3 linked regions of the Caenorhabditis elegans genome follow. The protein of the gene in region 2 purifies or fractionates together with the protein of the main gene of each other region. This does not show direct contact. Each region holds a gene or a part of one and is shown on either strand. Other genes may lie near its edges. The genes, in order: F45E1.5, pcmd-1 and Y71H2AR.2.

Region 1 (6,249 bases), on a different chromosome or scaffold from region 2:
TCGTTGAGAATAAATAGAAATAATTGAAATCTTGATGAAAATCAGGAATTGAAATCTTTGAAGATACCGAAAGAGGCTAACAACTATAAAGCGCGCCAACAAATTCCGACTCAGACATAATTCCTTCAAATAGATATTTTTGAACGTTTTTTGAAAGTTGATTCTGAATTTTTAGAACTGGACCAGGTTACTTTTATCTTGAAAACATGCCATGTTTTTGGTGGAATAGCAAAATCTGGTAGTTTACTCTTTTAAGCAAAAAAATGCCCCAAAAAGTTAAAGCTTCGCAACGGGATGTTTTGAAATTTTGTCAAATGTTTTTTTTTCGGAATTTTAGCTTTTTATTCATTCCGCAATAGGTTTTTCGGTAATTAAACACGTTTGTTTTTTGTTCAGTTGTTGTGTTCTTTGAATAAATTTTCAGAAAAATCCTTCGAAACTAACGAAACTGAAAAGGGAGTGCTAGTACTAAAACATTTTGAACTACGCCATTTTAACATCTAATTTTATAGCGGGCAACATCAAGAAGTTTACTGTCTCTTGGATAGTAGGACTTTAACACTTGAGAAAATCAAATCAGTTTTCGAAAAACTGTTTTAAAGATCGTACGCGCGGAACTGTTAACATTTGAGGAATCATTGATACGATTGTGAACGGGAACAAATTTAAATTACAATCAGATGAATTTGAAGGTTCAGTTATTGCAGACAGAAGTATAAATAAAAGGACAAACGTTCCGAAAATGTATGTAGAAATATGAATAAATAATCGGCGAATTATGCAATTCAAAATGTAAAACAACCAAGATTTAACTCAGTTGTCAGGAACATCAACTTTTTACTGCAAAAGAAAAATAAGAGGTTCACTAATGTAGTAAAACGTGAAAAAGAGTTACTAAAATCACAGTATGCAATTTGAACTTTTGTTGGAAGCATTTCTGTGTGTCAATTCATTGCATTGCTCGGTAAATATACTGATTCTCAGAAGTAACAACACAGAAAAACAAAGAGATGGGAAAATAAAGAGGTTTGTAGAAAATGAGATAGGAATGTTAACAACGATATTTTACAAATAACACAACAATTATTTCGAATTATTCCTAGTTCGATTTAATTCTGAAGAAAGTCTTCACTTTTTTCCAAGTTGACATGCTAGCTACTTGCTGTTTCTTTACATTTTGTCTCTTCAACTCTTCACATTGTTGCCGTTTCAGTTCTTTCTGCTCTTTTTGTTCTTCACGTTGCTTCTGCTTCAATTCTTTCTCATATTTTGATTTTTCTGCGGCAACCTTGTACCGATACTCTCTGATTTGCATTAACCAGCAAACACTGTCAAGAGTGTTAACAGGCTCCATGTCTGGTTCTTCAATTTCTAATCGCGATTTTCCATCGTCAATCCAGTCAGCTGAATTGATTGGAAGCCCAGGCTTGAATCGGACAATTGCTTGGTAAATGTACATTGGTACTGTGCTAAAATTAGAAACTTCTATAAGCATACGATCTTTTTTTAGAAGGGCTCACTCTGCATAAATAGCATAAACGATGAAATATTTTGCTGTGTTTTTGATGGAATTGAGAGCTTCAACTGAACGTGATATCTGTGAAAAAAAAAATATTGTGTTTGTTAAAAATGTTGAACTCACTGCGTCAATGGTGTGATTGGCCATCTCGTAATCATCATGGTATAATGGCTGAAATAAAAATTATGTATATTTGGATTACGCGAATTGATTTTGCAACTGGTTAATAAAAATAAATTATTGGCCGGAAAAGTAATGTCTTTTAGTCTTGTGTTCTTACAACTTTACGAATTATTCAGTGAACCCAATAACAATTCTGAGAACATTATCGAAAAAGGTTCCGCGGTCAGAAATTTGCTTAAATATGCTATGTACATTAATAACATTATTACTATACTGTATTTCACCATGATCGTCACAATAAATCAGAGGCCACAGTCTTATTAGCAAATTTAATCAAATGCATTTGTAACCCATCGATTTGAAACAATGCGGCACAATTTCTCAACCAACATTAGAAACTTGAAATTCCTATTGGAAAAATCTAAAATTAGTTTAGAAGTTGAGGCGAACTGTCGACAAATGCAGTTGTATTAAATGTTTGTCCAATTTACCGGTTGTCCGAGCACTTCCTCTGATCTGCGTCTCAAATCAATAACTTGAAGACCGTGAGGCATGAGGTGCTGATTGATGATTTGAATGAATTCCATTGAACATTCTGGTAGTTCAACAATATCGCGCAAGTATCCTTTGAATGGGACACCGATAACGGGTTGATGACTGTGAACAACTGGAATCATGTTGATTCTTAGAGTGTTACTGATTTTTTTTCTTGCGACCTCCGCTATACCAAAACGTTTCGTCTCTCCGGGAAGATACTGAATTTCATGAAATAAGTTAATTAAACTGTTTAAAAATAAAACTTACTCCTCCGTTTCCAATCAAATAAGCTTCTTCCAGTGTCAGGGATTCCTAGAAAAAAAAAATTCAAAACTTATTTAAATTCACTAATTGCTTACATGTTCTCTTCGATAGGCATACCATCGACGATTTCGTTCATGCGAAATGATATTGAACATCTGCATAAAAATTGAATCATCCGAATTCTCCAATGATACGCTATTAATATCTGTTTTGACATTGAGCCATTGGTTCAAACGAAAGCTTCCTTGTGTTTTCATGATTTCTTGCTCATTTGTTTGATGGATCATTATAAACGGTTTTTTAGTAGGCTGAAATTTAATTGAAATGTAGGTCATTTGCAAAGAGCTAGTTACATGAACTGGTGTCACTTTGAATTCCTCACTTGATGCCGGGTTATCCGACGTCTTCACTATACATGCTTCTTGAGTTGCTTCGTGAATAACTTTGCTCAGGATAACAGTTTCTTCATCATCAATTCCCGATGTACTAACCAAAGGTGGTAGTGGACCGGAGAAAACTTTCCATGTTTGTTTTTGCCATCTCTCAGCCTTGTCAGCGCCTGGATGTTTAGGAGGTTCTGGTTCAAGGTTGGTTTCTTTCTTTTCTTTGCGAAAAAACTGAACACAACCGTGTTTAGGTCCCTTACGCTTCCAGACTACATTTTTATCAGCTGTCTTATTGTCCTTGTCATCCCCAAGCATGCTCTGTAATTTAACTAATTTGCAATAAAACTTCTGCGCAGATGAGAAAAGTACTATCTTTGTGTTAGTTTGGGTCTATAATATTTCTAACGACAAAGTATGGTTAAGTCGGCATTCAGGTAAGTATACATTTTCTGTGCGAAACTAGAGAAAATACAAATGATGGATTAATTCATGCGATCTGTGAAATTTTTTAATTGTTCTTTAAATTAAATGAAGAGGCTAACTATTGCATTTAAAACAGACAGAATTTTATTTTGATTTTACACTTATTCATATTGTTTTATCACAGAATAGTGAATAGCGCATTCTCAAAGTAAGCTACACCACATTCAATATCCACCTGAAATCAATTTGCACGTTTCCCAACTTTTTCTTCACTAGTAATGCATTGATGTACACAATTACTAACTCAATGTAATAACTCTTGCATGAACCCACTAGCTGGTTGAAATTACTACTTGCAAAGATTACTACATGCGATATTCTTTTCACTCGTTTTCTAAGAAACCTATAATCCAAAGACCAACTTGCCAGACTCATATTTCTAGTAAGTATTAAGATCTCGTGTTCCCATAAAACGACACTTTAAGTCTAGACGTCTGCTGTTTGCACACCAGTGTTCTTTACTTTTTCTATGTTTTACTCACGACTACACTTGTCCAGGTGTTGTTTTAAAAGCCGACTAAAAAAGTTTAGAAAGTTTACAGCCTGGACTAGATTTGAAAAAAATGTTTTGAACTACCGTATTTCTTCTATTAGTATGGCTTTAGCAATACTATTTTTCGAAGGTATTCCCGCTTGCAATACTGTTAGGGAGTATAATAGGAAGAGCAATACTGTTTTTCAGAACATTTTTATTAGTTTTTTATTTGGAAAAACTCCAATTTTTTTTTGATAATTTAGAACATTCAATTGTAATTGAAACAGAAAGGCTTAATAACTTCAATCTTATAGAAATTTTGTCAAAAATTTTTGCAAAATAGGCAAAAATGTTGTTAAAATCTTAAAATTAGAAAGGAGGATTTGTACCAGAAATAAAAGTAGATGCGAGACTATTAGGGAGTGCAACACTAATAGGTAGTTCAATATTAATTTTTGGAGGGTTTTCAAAGTGTAATACTAAAAAGAAGTGCAAGTCTAAAAGGAAGGCCATACTATAGAAGAAATACGGTATTAGAAAAACATATTGAACATTAGTTAAGCTGCAAAATAATTGCACTTACTTCGATTTCATAATCTTCCAATGTTTTGGGTGGTGCTGGATTTGTTTGTGAAGGACGATCATCCCAATCGAATTTCAGCTTATCAACAAATTGGACGTGCTTCAGTCCTCGGCCTTCTGATTGAGCCTTCAACGAGTCGGTGTCATGTTCCGATTCATCAGGAAGATTTGAAATAACTTCTCTGCGTTTTTGAGAAGCATCTAAGAAACAAGGCTTGTTTTCTTGTCCCTCTGGTTTCGAACTTTTAGAACCCATCTGAATACATGATATTGTAAGATTGTTTGTCAAAATAGTTGAGAAAAAGACTGCAAAGAGAAACACTGAGGAAAGAGTTTGTCGTGAAAAATAACATCACGTAGTACAGCTCCGCCCATTTTTTTGAGTGGAACAAAAATCTGGAAAAATTTAAAGAAATGATGCGGGACATGTTTTTAAAATGATATTCCAAAAATACATAATATTTAACATTAGCATAGATAGGACATTTTGAATAATTTTGAACACGTCTGTGTCCTACAATATTCAATCAAAAAATATGATCATAGTTAAAATTAAAACTCTGACTTTTTTGAGACTTTTTTTGGTCAACTTTCAAGATTATGATAGGTGAGTAATTGTCACTTTCAACTGCAAATAAAAAAATCTTTAAAAATTGTCTATTTTTTGTTATGTTATTCGGTCACTAATTAGACTGATTATAAACATTTCTCCTTCATATTGCTTCAAGCAATACACTATAAGTGGAATTACAAAATAACATGTTTATCAATTGTTATACACTAAAAAATGCATACGCAAAATAGAAGCTTAAAATAATTGTATTCTTTACTCAAATATAAATATAAATGGGTTATCTCTTGATCCCACTTTTATGACTGTTTTGTTGCTAGTTTTAAGGAAAACCGCTAAACTGTTGCAATATTAAACTCGACCAAAAGAAAAAGTTTCAAGACGTCATAAACGATTGTCAAGAACAGTTATAGAAACGTTATCATATAAATAAAAGTAGTAAACACTTTGTAAACTATTTTATCAGTTGAAAATGCTTGTTGCCGTTTGTCTGAACTAGATTAATGGTCATTCTCCTCACTAATTTTAAAATCAAGGTAACAAGAGGTTTAAATATGAAACTAACAATTATAGCTAAACTAGTAAGCCAAAGGAAAAAATAACCAAGTAGTCTAACATATTGAGAATAAAAATCAAAAGATCAAAACTTTCAAGGAAAAGTGTAATGTGCTCAGCAATGTCATGTCATCCTTAAGCTAAATTGAAAATAGAACAAAACATTAGATGACGGTGAATGAGAATTTCCAGTTCACCGAACACGTACTGAAATATTTATCTTTCATGTGTCTATAGAAACATCTGTCAAGTTGTAACTAGTTTATAGTCTCTGACCTAGCTGTATTAGCACAATAGAGCACTGAAAACATTTGAAAACCCAGAGTCGGGCTTTCTTTTCAAATATGATCATATTTTCAAGAGAAATTGGTCTAGACAAGTGGCAAGTTTGCGGCAAAGCCGTCTATAACCAACAAGAAATTAGAAAAACACACAATCCCGAAAATTATATTTTAGACAATATTAAAACACATTTTGATACAAAAAATTGGTACGTTTGTAATGTATACGTTAATACAGAAACAGGTACAAAATTGAGGAATGAGAAACATCACGGAGAAAGTGAAACGAAGTGTAAAAACAAAAAAATTGAAGTTATAGTTAGAGCAAGTTTTTTGGTGTATGAGGTCTAATTTCAACAAAAACTAATGAAAGTATGTTAACATTACATATATTTTATCTAGAACTTTTTAATTGAAATTCAAAACGAAAAAAAAAGGAATAACCCTTAGGCGACTTGGCTAAACTTCATTGC
Region 2 (7,672 bases):
GAAATGACGAAGATTGCTGAAAACAATTGCGGGGTTTTTATCGATTTTTCGAGAGAATTTTAGCAAATTTTCGTATTTTTCTTGCCAAAAAATGCAATTTTTCCCCGATTTTCGCTGATTGGGACTAAAAAATCCGAAAATTTGTGCTCAAAATTTCAAAAAATTGTCAAAAAGTTCAAATTTTGGAAAATACGTTATTTTTTACCCGAAAAATTGATTTTCAAGCATTTTTTCGCTTTAAAAACATGAAAAGTGCGTTTTTTTGCGAGAAAAATCGAAAAATTGCCATTTTTGCCTTTTTCAGACTGAAAAATCAAAAAATTGGCTCAAAAATTCGGAAATTTCAACAAAACTATCAAAAAATCCGCTAAGAAATTGATAATTGGCTCAAAAATAGCAAAAAAATGGAGAAAATGTCTCAAAATATTCGATTTCCACAATTTTGCACTAAAAATTTGAAAATTTAATAAAACTCGGTGATGGGCTCCAAAATTCACAGCTCAAAGCCAAAAAATTGTAAAAATGGGGTGTTGGGACCCAAAAATTCGAATTTTCCGCCAAAAATCCGGAATTTTAAGCCCCATATCGGCCTGTTTCGGTGTAAATCGAATTTCGAGCATTTTCAGGGCTCACGGAGCTCGAAAAATCGATTTTCACCAATAGGGCTTAAAAATATGGAGCTTAAAATTACGGATTTTTGGCGGAAAATTCGAATTTTTGGGTCCAAGCACCCCATTTTTTGGCTTTGAGCTGTGAATTTTTGAGCCAATCACCGAGTTTTAGTAAATTTTCGAATTTTCAGTGCAAAATTGTGGAAATCGAATATTTTCAGACATTTTCTCCATTTTTTTTTTGCGATTTTTGAGCCAATTATCGCTTTTTAGTGGATTTTTTTTGTAGTTTTGTCGAAATTCCCAAATTTGTGACCCAATTTTTAGATTTTTCAGTCTAAAAAGCCAACAATGACTTTTTTACGGCAATTTATCGATTTTTCTCGCATAAAACGCACTTTTCAAGTTTTTAAAGCGAAAAAATGCTTGAAAATCAATTTTTTGGGTAAAAATAACGTATTTTTCCAAATTTGAATTTTTTTTTGACTATTTTTCGAAATTTTGAGCACAAATTTCCGGATTTTAAGCCAAAAACTCCAATTTTTGTCGATTTTCAGCACGAATTTCGCACCTTTCCGCATCTTTTCTCAGTCCTTTTCCACAAATCTCATCAATATCGAGTGGTGGCGAAAAAATCGGCCGCAGTGACGTTTTGATGACAAATCTTGGCAAAATGCCAGGTTCTTGGTGCTCAATTCGAAATTCGTCGAATTTTTTTTTGGTTGGGCTCATTTGTACGGTGGATATCGAGTGACGGAGGGCTCCGGGAGCTGGAAAAATGGAATTTTGGGGAATTTTTAGCATTTTCAGCTGAAAAAATTATTTTATATCTAAATATAAAAAATTATATCTATTTTCAGTTTTTTCTGCAAAAAAAAAATTAATTTTTTTAAATGAAAAATATCGAAATTTTTACATTTTTCGATTAAAAACTTATTTTTTCCACAAAAAATATCAATTTTCCAGCATTTCCATCTGAAAAATGAATTTTTTAATGAAAAATCTCAATTTTCCAGCATTTTCAGCTCCAAAAAACCTACCAAATCCATCAAAAACCGTCAAATTCGTACGATTTCCACTATTCGAAATCAGATTGCTCATCGAAGCCGACCGTCCGTCACGATTTCGTTCAATATGTAGAGATCCTGGAAAAAAAACCGAGCATTTAATTGCTCCGAGAGCCTATAATTATGGGGGTAGGACGGTGTAAAAGGAGGGGATTAGTGTAATTAGCCACATTTATTCGAAAAAATGAAAATTTGGGCAGAGGTTCCCCGTCTCCGGTGACAAATGTGCATTTTTACCCATGAAGAGTATGAAAAATGCGATTTTCACGAAAAACTCAACATTTATTCATACTTTTCATTGAGCAAAGCTACACAGATGCCACAAGTCGTTATTTTGAAATTTTTGCAAACTTTCGCGACAAGACCCTTGGGTTACTGTAGTTCCTACCTAATTTTTATTTGAAAATATTTCAGGATTACTTTTTTATTAAAAAAAAATGTGAAAAACATGAAAAATCTTTTTTCAATCGATTATTTTTCAAAAAAACCTTGAATATCAATGTTTCTTAATTTTTTTTTCTCCATTTTTTCCAGATTTTCGTGCCAAGACCCATGGATTACTGTAGTTCCTGCCTAATTTTTATTTAAGATTTGTTCTGGATAAAAAAAAACGATTATTCTAAAAACTTGAAAATAAACGTTTTCTAGTTGTTTTTCTCCATTTTTTCCAGATTTTCGTGCCAAGACCCATGGATTACTGTAGTTCCTCTCCCTACCCGATGTATCCGTCGCCGAATTTCTCATAATCGGAGTTTCCTTCTCCAAACTCCTGTGATAATCCTTGAAAACCTGCTCGACAATCGTTTTATCAGCGTCATCCTCCTCGTCGAAAAATTGTCGAATTGTGATGTCAGATTTCGAATTTCGCGGCTCTCGATTCGAGTAGAGCTCCACGAGCTGTGATTCGGAGAGACGAACTGAAAATAAATGAAAATTTGGGCAGCGGTTCCCCGTCTCCGGTGACAAATGTGCTCTTTTGCACATGAAAAGTATGAAAAATGCGATTTTCACGTGGAACTCAACATTTATTCATAATTTTCATTGGGCAAAGCTACACAGATGCCACAAGTCGCGAATTTTTTTTTAGATATCGTTTTTCAGCCGAAATGACGGAGATTGCTGGAAAATTTGGGTTTTTATCAATTTTTCGAGAGAATCTTAAATTTTTGTAATTTTCTTGCGAAAAATGCAATTTTCCTACCGATTTTTGCTGATTGGGACTAAAAAATTTGAATTCCCCGCAAAAATCCGAAATCTTAAGCCATATCGGCCTGTTTCGGTGAAAATCAAATTTCGAGCATTTTCAGGGCTCGCGGAGCTCAAAAAACCGATTTTCATCAAAATAGATCAATATGGGGCTTAAATTTTCGCTTTTTTGATTGGGACTAAAAAACTTGAAAGCTGATTCCCTGTAATTTCGAAAAAAAAAACTAGCAGTTTCTAAAAAATATACATGAATTTTTAAAATTATCAAAATTTTACAGCATTAGCAAAAAAAAAAACGCTAATTCGTGAAATTTGCTAGTTTTGAACCAAAGTTTCAGCACTTTTCTGCCAATTTATCAAAATTTGATACAAAAAATGAAAATTTGGGCAGCGGTTCCCCGTCTCCGGTGACAAATGAGCACTTTTGCACATGAAAAGTATGAAAAACGCGATTTTCACAGAATAACTCAACATTTATTCATACTCTTCATTGGGCAAAGCAACACAGATGTCACAAGTCGTTTTTCTGATTTTTTTTTTCCGATTTTCGTGTCAAGACCCACGGATTGCTGTAGTAAGATACACAGATGCCACATAGCAGTGCAATTTCCGAAAACTCGATTTTCCGAGCAAAAATAGTTGCATTTTTCTTTAAAAAAAATGCTCACAATTCCGCAAAAATTCTAACCAAAAACGCTAATTCGTGAAATTTGCCAGTTTTGGACCAAATTTTTATCACTCTTCAGATAATTTCACAAAAATCTCACTAAATTAACTATTAAAATGAAAATTTGGGCAGAGGTTCCCCGTCTCCGGTGACAAATGTGCTCTTTTGCACATGAAAAGTATGAAAAATGCGATTTTCACGCGGAACTCAACATTTATTCATACTTTTCATTGGGCAAAGCTACACAGATGCCACAATTCGTTACTTTGATTTTTTTGGGAAAAAAAAATCGATTTCCGTGTCGAGACCATTGAAAAAGACACACTGAGGTCACACAAGTCGCTACTCAGTGAATTCCCCCATTACACTCTGTCAACCCTTTCCATCTAACACATAAACCTGCATAGCATGTACCTAGAGACCCCCTACACCGTGGCCTAGTGGCTAGTAACACAGGCATCAAGACCTCACCGCCTGTGTTCAGTTTCCTTCCACACCGCCCGTCTCGTGGCTAATGATGTTCTCTGCGAAATACACAACTTACTACAAACTGATCTTATTTGAATTGAGGGTTACTGTAGCTACTACTGTAGCTACCGTAATCCTCACAGTGTGAACTTAAATTAAAGACTGAAGCTTAGACGGGACCCACGAAATAAAGGGATTTTTGAAATGCGCTCTACTGATAAAATACTGAAAATCCAAAGTTTTTAGGGTTTTTTTTTTCGTTGGAAGCAAGTGCGCTCCGTTGAGAATCTCGTAAAACATATTTATATCCAAGTTTCGGCTCGAAATTCAAGTTTTCTATGGGTTTTTCGGCGATTTTCTATAGATTTTGCCTTTTTTCTACGATTTTAGGGTAATTTCAAGGTAAAAAGGTCAAATTTCCAGGTTTTAGCTTTAAAATGCTCCTTTTTTCAGAATTTTTTGGAGAAAACTCAAAATTTTCACTGTTTTCCGGAACTTTCCGGGTAAAAAGGTCAAAATTTCCACATTTTGGCTTGAAAATTTTTAGATTTGCCAAAATTTTATCTGAAAATTCAAGTTTTATTTTTTATTTTTCGGATATTTCAAGGCAAAAACATTAAATTTGCTTTTTTCAACGATTTTTCGGAAATTTCCGGATAAAAATGCCAAAATTTCCAGATGATTTTCACGGATTTTGGCTTCAAAATTGTAATTTTAAGCTTAAAAATTCGAGTTTTCTCCGATTTTTCGGCAATTTCTGAGCAAAAAGCCCAATTTTCAGAATTTTCGGCCGAAAATATTACTGGAATCGCTGTTCGTTCCAGTTGTTCGTCGTTCTTTGCGCGGTGTCGATGAGCTCAGAGGCTTCGGAATTTTAGCCGATGACATCATCATATTTCGAGCTTGTTCCACTTCGAAGGCCAGTGAAGCTTGACTTGAAGGCCTGGAAAAATACATTTTCAGCAGCGATTTTCACGTTTTCTAAAGCAATTTTGCAAAAAAATAGCTTTTTATCGATTTTTTTAAAGGTTTTTAGCGATTTTAAACTGAAAATTTAATTTTTCTGGAGCTTTTCCGGTGAAAATACGAAAAAATTCAGATTTTGAGTGGAAAATTAATCAATTTTCACATTTTTTGGGTTCAAAAACTCGGATTTCAACTTTTTTGTATGGAAAATCGATAAATTTTCGCATTTTTCAATAGTTTCTCGTGTAAAATTCGATTTTTCTTCACTTACGGCCTCGTATCATCACTGTCCGAGTCATTTTGGCTGCTCAAACGGAAGGTACTATCCGAAAACGTGCAATTTTTCGATTTTTCGCCAGTTTTTTCGGGTTTTTTCGAGTAACTCGCGGAGAGCTTCTTGGCAAGGTTGATCTGAAGAGAAAAATCTTTTTTTTTTATGAAAAAAAAAAGGGGTTTTTAGGCAAAAAATACGATTTTTAAGTGAATTTTCAACAAAAAAACACATATTTTACCTCTTTAAACAGAGATTTTTGTGAAGAAGCCGATGAGCTTATGATCGATGAAGCTTCATCTCTTAAACTGTTGCTGAGAGCGGCATTTTTCTGAAAAATCGAAATTTTTGGGTTGAAAAACGCCATTTTTCTCCCCGTACACTGAAATTTTCGAGTAATTCTTTAAAATTCTTCTCCATTGCGTCCAAATCCGCACTTTTACACTTATTTTTGTGTTTTTCCGAGCGAATTTCCGATTTTTCGCTTAATATTGACAATTTAGTGTCATTCGTCTTCTTAATCGGGCTCGGAATCTTCTTCTTTTTCGACTTTTTTTCGCTCTTTTTCGGCGAAATCTGACATAAATCCAGTCTTTGTGGGAATATTGGCAGGAATTCCTGTCTTACGGACATTTGCGAGCAATTCTAAATGATATAATTGAGAGTTTTTGCTGGAAAATAAGGAAAATCAATATACCGATTCCATAAAAGTCGGATAATCCCGCTGGAGGGAGGCGGGATTATTCTTCAGCGAACTGGAGTCGAATCCCTCGTCGTATTCCACCTCCATAGTGGATTTTTTGCTGAAAATATTGATTTTAAGTGTCGAAATTTTATTTAAAATCATTTTTGAATAGAAAAATCGAAGAAAATCAAAGAAAATCCACGAAAAACCACAAAAAACGGAAATTAAAATCAAAAAACCGCCGTTTGGCGGCACTTGGCAACGTGCCAAGGGGTCGTCGTTGCGAGACCCACCACTCGTATAAATCCATGCGCCTTTAATTTATCAATCATTTCCACGGATTTTCATCGTTGTTTATTGATTTTTATCAGTAACCCAACGAATTTTGTGATAAAAATCAATAAAATGAATTTCAAATTATCGATTTTTCAACATTTAATAACATTTTCCCCCAACTAATCTGGAAATTTTGCAGAAATGCCACATTAAACCGAGAATAGAGCCGGAAAATGTTCAAATGGGATCCGTGCGGGCTCGTTTGTGTGTGCATGATCTATCTACTGATTGCATATGCGGATTATGTGATTCTTATTTGGCTTTTGCTGCCAACTTTCGGGCACTCGTAGGTTTTTGTGGAGAAAAATTGACGAATTTTCGGATTTTCACCAATATTTCCCCCCATTTTTTTCTGGGTTTGAGCATCATGGCACAATTAAATTGAAATAAAAATGCGAAATTCACCCCAAAAGTCACTGATTTTTGGCTAAAAACGCTAATTTTCCACAAAAAATCGCTATTTTTTCCAGAATTTGGACAGTTTTCCACGGAGCCGTCTTCAATTGCCTGCTGGCAACGACGATTGTAGCTCACACACGAGCAATGTTGTCCGACCCGGGAACTGTGCCGATTTCCTCGTCAAAGTGAGGGTCTTACCACGAAAAGAGGGAATTTTGACGGAAAACTGGGAAAAAAATGGGAAATTTCGATTTTCCGAAGGTTTTTGTCCTGAAAATGATCAAAATCTCGGGTTTTCTGGCTCAGAAATGGAAATTTTAAGGGATATTGTGTCCCGACACAGCTGAAACAAGTGCTACAGTACCCTCGGGTTACTGTAGCCCTAGTTTCCACTGTGTAATTGCATTTTTTCTCGAAAATTTTTGGTTTTTAACTCAAAAAAAAATCTATTTTTCAGCTGAAATAGCCGAAAATGGATAAACACAGCTGAAACAAGTGCTACAGTACCTACAATCGTGGCGAGACCCACCCCGGGTTACTGTAGCCCCAGTTTCAGCTGTGTTTATCGATTTTTCACTAAAATCGATGACATTAGTGGAATTTTCAAGAAAAAAAAACAAAACTTTTACTAAAAATAGACATAAAAGCAAATTTTTTTCGAAATTAAAAAAAAAAGGTTTTCATTAAAATAACGTGCCAACTGGTAACTTTTTGTTAAAAAGAAGTGTAAAAATTGCTATTTTCTAGCTCTGACACAGCTGAAACAAGTGCTACAGTACCCCTAATCGTGGTGAGACCCACCGCGGGTTACTGTAACTCCGGTTTGAGCTGTGTAATCGCATTTTTCTCCGAATTCTTAAAAAAAATGTTTCAACTCAAAATAAATCTAATATTCTGCTAAAATAGCCGAAAAATCGATAAACACAGCTGAAACAAGTGCTACAGTACCCCCAATCGTGGCGAGACCCACCCCGGGTTACTGTAGCCCCAGTTTCA
Region 3 (4,430 bases), on a different chromosome or scaffold from region 2:
CCAAGAACCTAGGAAGACATCTGGTGTCAGGCTGTCTCATCACTGTTTGATCCACAATAAAATGCGACATTTTTTGTACGTGAGCACGTTCTTAACCATGCAAAATCATTTGAGAACTCTACTCCCGCATTTTTTGTAGATGGGAGTAGATCAAAACGTAGATGAAACCGTAATGGGACATTATGACACCACATGAGAAGACGAAATTTTTTATCCGCGCCAAGTACATAAATGGTAAAGTTTAAAAAATATTGGGTGTTCTCCGGAAAAACATTCTGAAAAAAGTTAATTTGAGATATAAATTTTTAAAATTATGAAAACTAAATGATTGGTTATGGTACATCTTGAAAAGTACGGTCAAACTTATGCCTGAAAATTCAGATTTTATGATTGAACTGGAAGCTACTGGTACTTAAAAAATTTGGTATATAAATTCAGAAAGAGAAAAAGAAAATAAAAAACAGCAAAAATTTGAAACAAGTACCCGAAGAAAAATTCTGAAAAATTTAATTTTAAGTGAGATCTATATCAAAATATAAAGGAAGTCAGAAGCCCGCGCTGTAGATAAATATTCATTCTTATCGTAATAACAATTCTCAAAATTATACAAACTCGGTAAGAACTGCAATTGTAGTTGCCATTGCACATGCATTAACATCTCTTGCCAACTTCATATATCCCTGCTCTCCCCACGATGTCCCGAATGAGCCCTTCACAATCCAATATTTTTGCTCTCCCTCGATACCGTACCCAACGATTACCATTGATCGGATTTCATGTGTACTTGTACATTCTTCAATGGATGGGTTGTAGATTCCGATTTTATAATCGTAGAGGGATGGAGGGGCGCGCATCGCTGAAAATATTTGTATTGCTATTAAAGGTGGAGTAGCGCCAGTGGGGAATATGTTAAAAACCACTCCTTTGGTCCCAAAATGGCCAAATATCGTGATAAAACTTTTCAAAAAATTTTTGAAAATTTTTTATTAACTGTCAAAAAGTGGCAATTACTCAATTTTTGCCACTCATAATTTTGGAAGTCGACCAAAAAAAAAATTTTTTACTAAAATTTTTTAAAGAGTTTTATTATGATATTCGGTAGTTTTGGATCATTATAAGTACATTTAGACCAAATCCCAATTGGCGCTACTCTAACTTTAAATGATCTATCAAGAAATTTACTTTTTGCACAATTATGACCAATAAAAAAAAAAAACTCACTGAAAAACGCGGGTCCATAATTTGTGACATAAACTTTCCCCAGTACTTCATTACCCTCTGCCACAACTCCTTTTTTTAAATGAATTTTTGATTTAGTTGAGTCAAAGGTACACTTTTCATTTGTCTTGTCAACATATGGATAGTCTGCTTCTGTTTCTATGCCATGAGTGGCGAGGTATCTGAAATTTTGAATATTTAGCGCTAAAGGTTTTCATCTGACAAAATTGTTAAATAATTAGGTTCCGATTCACATTTATGGGTGTTTTAAACGACAAATGCTACCTATCATTATTGCATAAGCATTTATTATCAATTGATCACATTTTTACCACTCTATTAACTTCAAAGATTTAGGTATTTGAAGACAAGGTCTAATGACCTTCAAATTTGCGTGTCTCAAAAACGGATAGACTAATTAATAAACGTAATTAATAAACGAAATGTTAATCATGTTTGAAATAAAGAACAGTTTGCTGGTTGGAAATTTCTAGACCTTTCCGGCATCGAGGTACACGAGCTTGTATTTCTAAAACGACAGAGCCACTATAAAAATTTTCGCTTTTCAATTGCTCATCACGGTCTAAACCTTAAATCAACCCAAAACAATTACCCAATAGCATTCATCGCAAATTGCTCCTCACATCCCTTATATCCCTGATCATTACAATCAATAAGCTGCTGCTCAGAAAATGACAAAAGTGTTCCATTTGTAGCCTTGGCGTACATTGACTCAATACTGGAAGTTATCGCAAATGCGTGGGATGCATTGCATTTTCCCTGATCTTTAACTGGTCCAACAATTCCTTTCTCTCTCCAATCAAGAAATTCCTCAGTGGTTCGGTCCATGTGAATTGGGGTTTCCCATTGAAATCTTGTTGGGAGTGATTCAGAGGTTCTCTGCTGAACTAAAGAACCAATGATGTAGAATGTCAACGCAGTTAGAGTGAAGAGGATAATGGAATTGAAGGTGCTTCTCGAGTTTGCTGGCTTTTCGAACAAGTCTTCTCTGGAATAATTTACTTTCGATGTTAGGCGTAGGCTTAGGCTTAGGCCTTCTTCGTTTGTATAAAAAGAAAGACTTACCCCATTGCAACGAAGACTTTTTGCTTCTTCGCCTCATCTGCTTTCGAGCTTAATTTAGTAGCACTGACCATTGAGAATTTGTGATTTTCTTGCTATTTTCATTTAACTTTTATATATCCACTTATTGCTAACGATATTTTATTCCTCATGATGAGTCAGTCAAGTTCAAAAGTTATCAGCAATAGAAAACAAAAAAAAACTTGTTTTCAGTGAGAGATTTAGAGAATTGAAGTGGTAGTAAAGTAATTTCCTTCGGTTCTATTTGTTGTGTGATTTGTTTTTGATATCTATGTAGACATGTAGGCATGTAGGCATGTAGACAGGTAGGCATTTTTTGGAGTTTGGATTCAGTAGCTCGCATAACCGCCAAGTTTAAGCAGAGATACCTTTAGAGATATCAAACCTTTTAGAGTATAAATTGAGGTTAAATAAAACTAGGGCTGTACAACCGGACGTCCGGTCGTCCGGTTGGGGGTAGCTATCCACGACGGCCGACAATTTCCGAGTTTCACCACCCACTATAAAATTGCTGATTAAGTATAGTGAGTGGCGAAACTCGGAAATTGTCGGCCGCCGTGGAAACCTACCCCAAAACCGGACGCGGTGCGTCCGGTGGTGTCAAAATCGGACGACCGGACGCCGATTTGTACAGCCCTAAATAAAACTGACCATTTATATGCGAAATTAGTAGATTTTCCAAACTTTGAAAATTCATATCTGACTTCAAATTAAATGTTTCAAAAATTCCCGTAGCCATTTTGTCGCAAATTTTGTGTTCTTTCAGAATTTGAAAGCGGCATTCCAACAACTTCCGAAATTGCCGAGTTCAAGCAGGAAATGTGGATTTTTGAGCACATTTTGAGTTAATTTGGAATAGTCAATTTAAATGCAAAAATAGTAGATTTTTCAAACTTTGAAAATTCATATCTGACTTCAGACTAAATTTTTCGAAAATTCCCGTAGCCATTTTTTCGCAAATTTTGCGTTTTTTCAGAATTTAAAACGACAATTTGTAGGCATGTAGGCATGTTTGGTTCATTTACAGTCAAATTTGACCACGTTTCAGTCAATTTCTCTTCCATTTTTCACATTTAAACTCCCCTTCCTGTTTAAAATTGCCGTCGTAAAAACGGTATAAATCATTCTTATCACCAGCAAATATATCAGTAGTTGTGCATTATGACGGTAGTACATTTTTGGATGGGGAGCAAACATAAATCATTCAATTCGACGCCCTTTTTAAGCTGATAAGGCAAATTTCTAAATTTTCGGCAGTATCACTTCTGTTTCTACACAGGCTTCTTGTCGCTAGAAATGAAATTCCGGTTTTTGGCGTTATGTGTTGGGTTACTGTAAGTTTTGGGCAAAATTGTTTGATTTTTTTCGTATTTTTTCCAGAAACTGGGGTTTTTTAGAAGAAGCATCGAGTTTTTTCAAATTTTTAGCCGACTTTTTAAAATGGAAAATATTGATTTTTCCAAGAAATTGACGATTTTTCTTCCAAAATTATTAATTTTCTTGGAAAAGGTATTGATTTTTCTCGAAACAATAATTTTTCCAAATTTTTTTCAGATTAGCCACATTGGTTAGTGGCAATGGAGACCCGGGAGCCTCAAATTCTTCATCGGTAGCAACAACCGTCGCAGCTTCTCCCTCAACAGACGCTTCCTCATCAGCAGCACCATCCCAGGCTCCAGCTTCTCCAACTTCCGTTGACCCATCTGCCACTACTCAAGCAGCCGCATCCTCTGGAGCACCCGTATCTACAGTATCCCCATCGTCCGGAGCAACCACTGCCGAGCCATCAAGCTCTTCGGCGGCTCCAGTGACCTCTGGAGGGTCTACTGTATCAGCTGGACCAACTACACCAGCACCGCTTCCAAATGTGACGTACAGTCTTTTGCGTGAGTTGTATTAGATAGCTATGTGAAGTAGGCACGAGATCCACTGTAGGTAGCTTGGTAGGCAGTCGTAGGCTGCCTGGTAGGCAGTCGTAGGTAGGTTAAACAGCGCAGAAGACGGGAAGGCACGCGTAGGTAGAAAGACTATCAGACACCGAGTGCCCACGTGAAATGCAAAGACAACTTTAGCAGTACATAGAATGGCATGTAGGCCGCCTTGAAGGC

The links.
Region 1: the proteins of pcmd-1 (region 2) and F45E1.5 fractionate together in Caenorhabditis elegans (co-fractionation; one large-scale study listed by BioGRID). This does not show direct contact.
Region 3: the proteins of pcmd-1 (region 2) and Y71H2AR.2 fractionate together in Caenorhabditis elegans (co-fractionation; one large-scale study listed by BioGRID). This does not show direct contact.

What each region holds. Positions count from the first base shown.
Region 1 is NC_003284.9:7,975,076-7,981,324, reverse strand, and holds F45E1.5 (Rhodanese domain-containing protein), read right to left. Parts: upstream 4,626-6,249; coding exon 4,371-4,625; intron 3,148-4,370; coding exon 2,797-3,147; intron 2,752-2,796; coding exon 2,539-2,751; intron 2,492-2,538; coding exon 2,447-2,491; intron 2,398-2,446; coding exon 2,134-2,397; intron 1,691-2,133; coding exon 1,643-1,690; intron 1,598-1,642; coding exon 1,521-1,597; intron 1,470-1,520; coding exon 1,100-1,469; 3' UTR 590-1,099; downstream 1-589.
Region 2 is NC_003279.8:11,605,256-11,612,927, forward strand, and holds the start of pcmd-1 (PeriCentriolar MatriX Deficient), read right to left. Parts: upstream 6,060-7,672; 5' UTR 6,047-6,059; coding exon 5,954-6,046; intron 5,902-5,953; coding exon 5,638-5,901; intron 5,588-5,637; coding exon 5,498-5,587; intron 5,397-5,497; coding exon 5,257-5,396; intron 4,963-5,256; coding exon 4,823-4,962; intron 4,191-4,822; exon of another isoform or gene 4,060-4,190; intron 2,596-4,059; coding exon 2,395-2,595; intron 1,757-2,394; coding exon 1,652-1,756; intron 1,382-1,651; coding exon 1,183-1,381; intron 17-1,182; coding exon 1-16. Other genes in the region: dhhc-7 (Palmitoyltransferase), read left to right, coding at 6,451-6,563, 6,748-6,861.
Region 3 is NC_003281.10:2,838,553-2,842,982, forward strand, and holds Y71H2AR.2 (Peptidase C1A papain C-terminal domain-containing protein), read right to left. Parts: upstream 2,376-4,430; coding exon 2,305-2,375; intron 2,228-2,304; coding exon 1,832-2,227; intron 1,401-1,831; coding exon 1,222-1,400; intron 857-1,221; coding exon 603-856; 3' UTR 568-602; downstream 1-567. Other genes in the region: H34I24.2 (CUB domain-containing protein), read left to right, coding at 3,619-3,656, 3,877-4,208.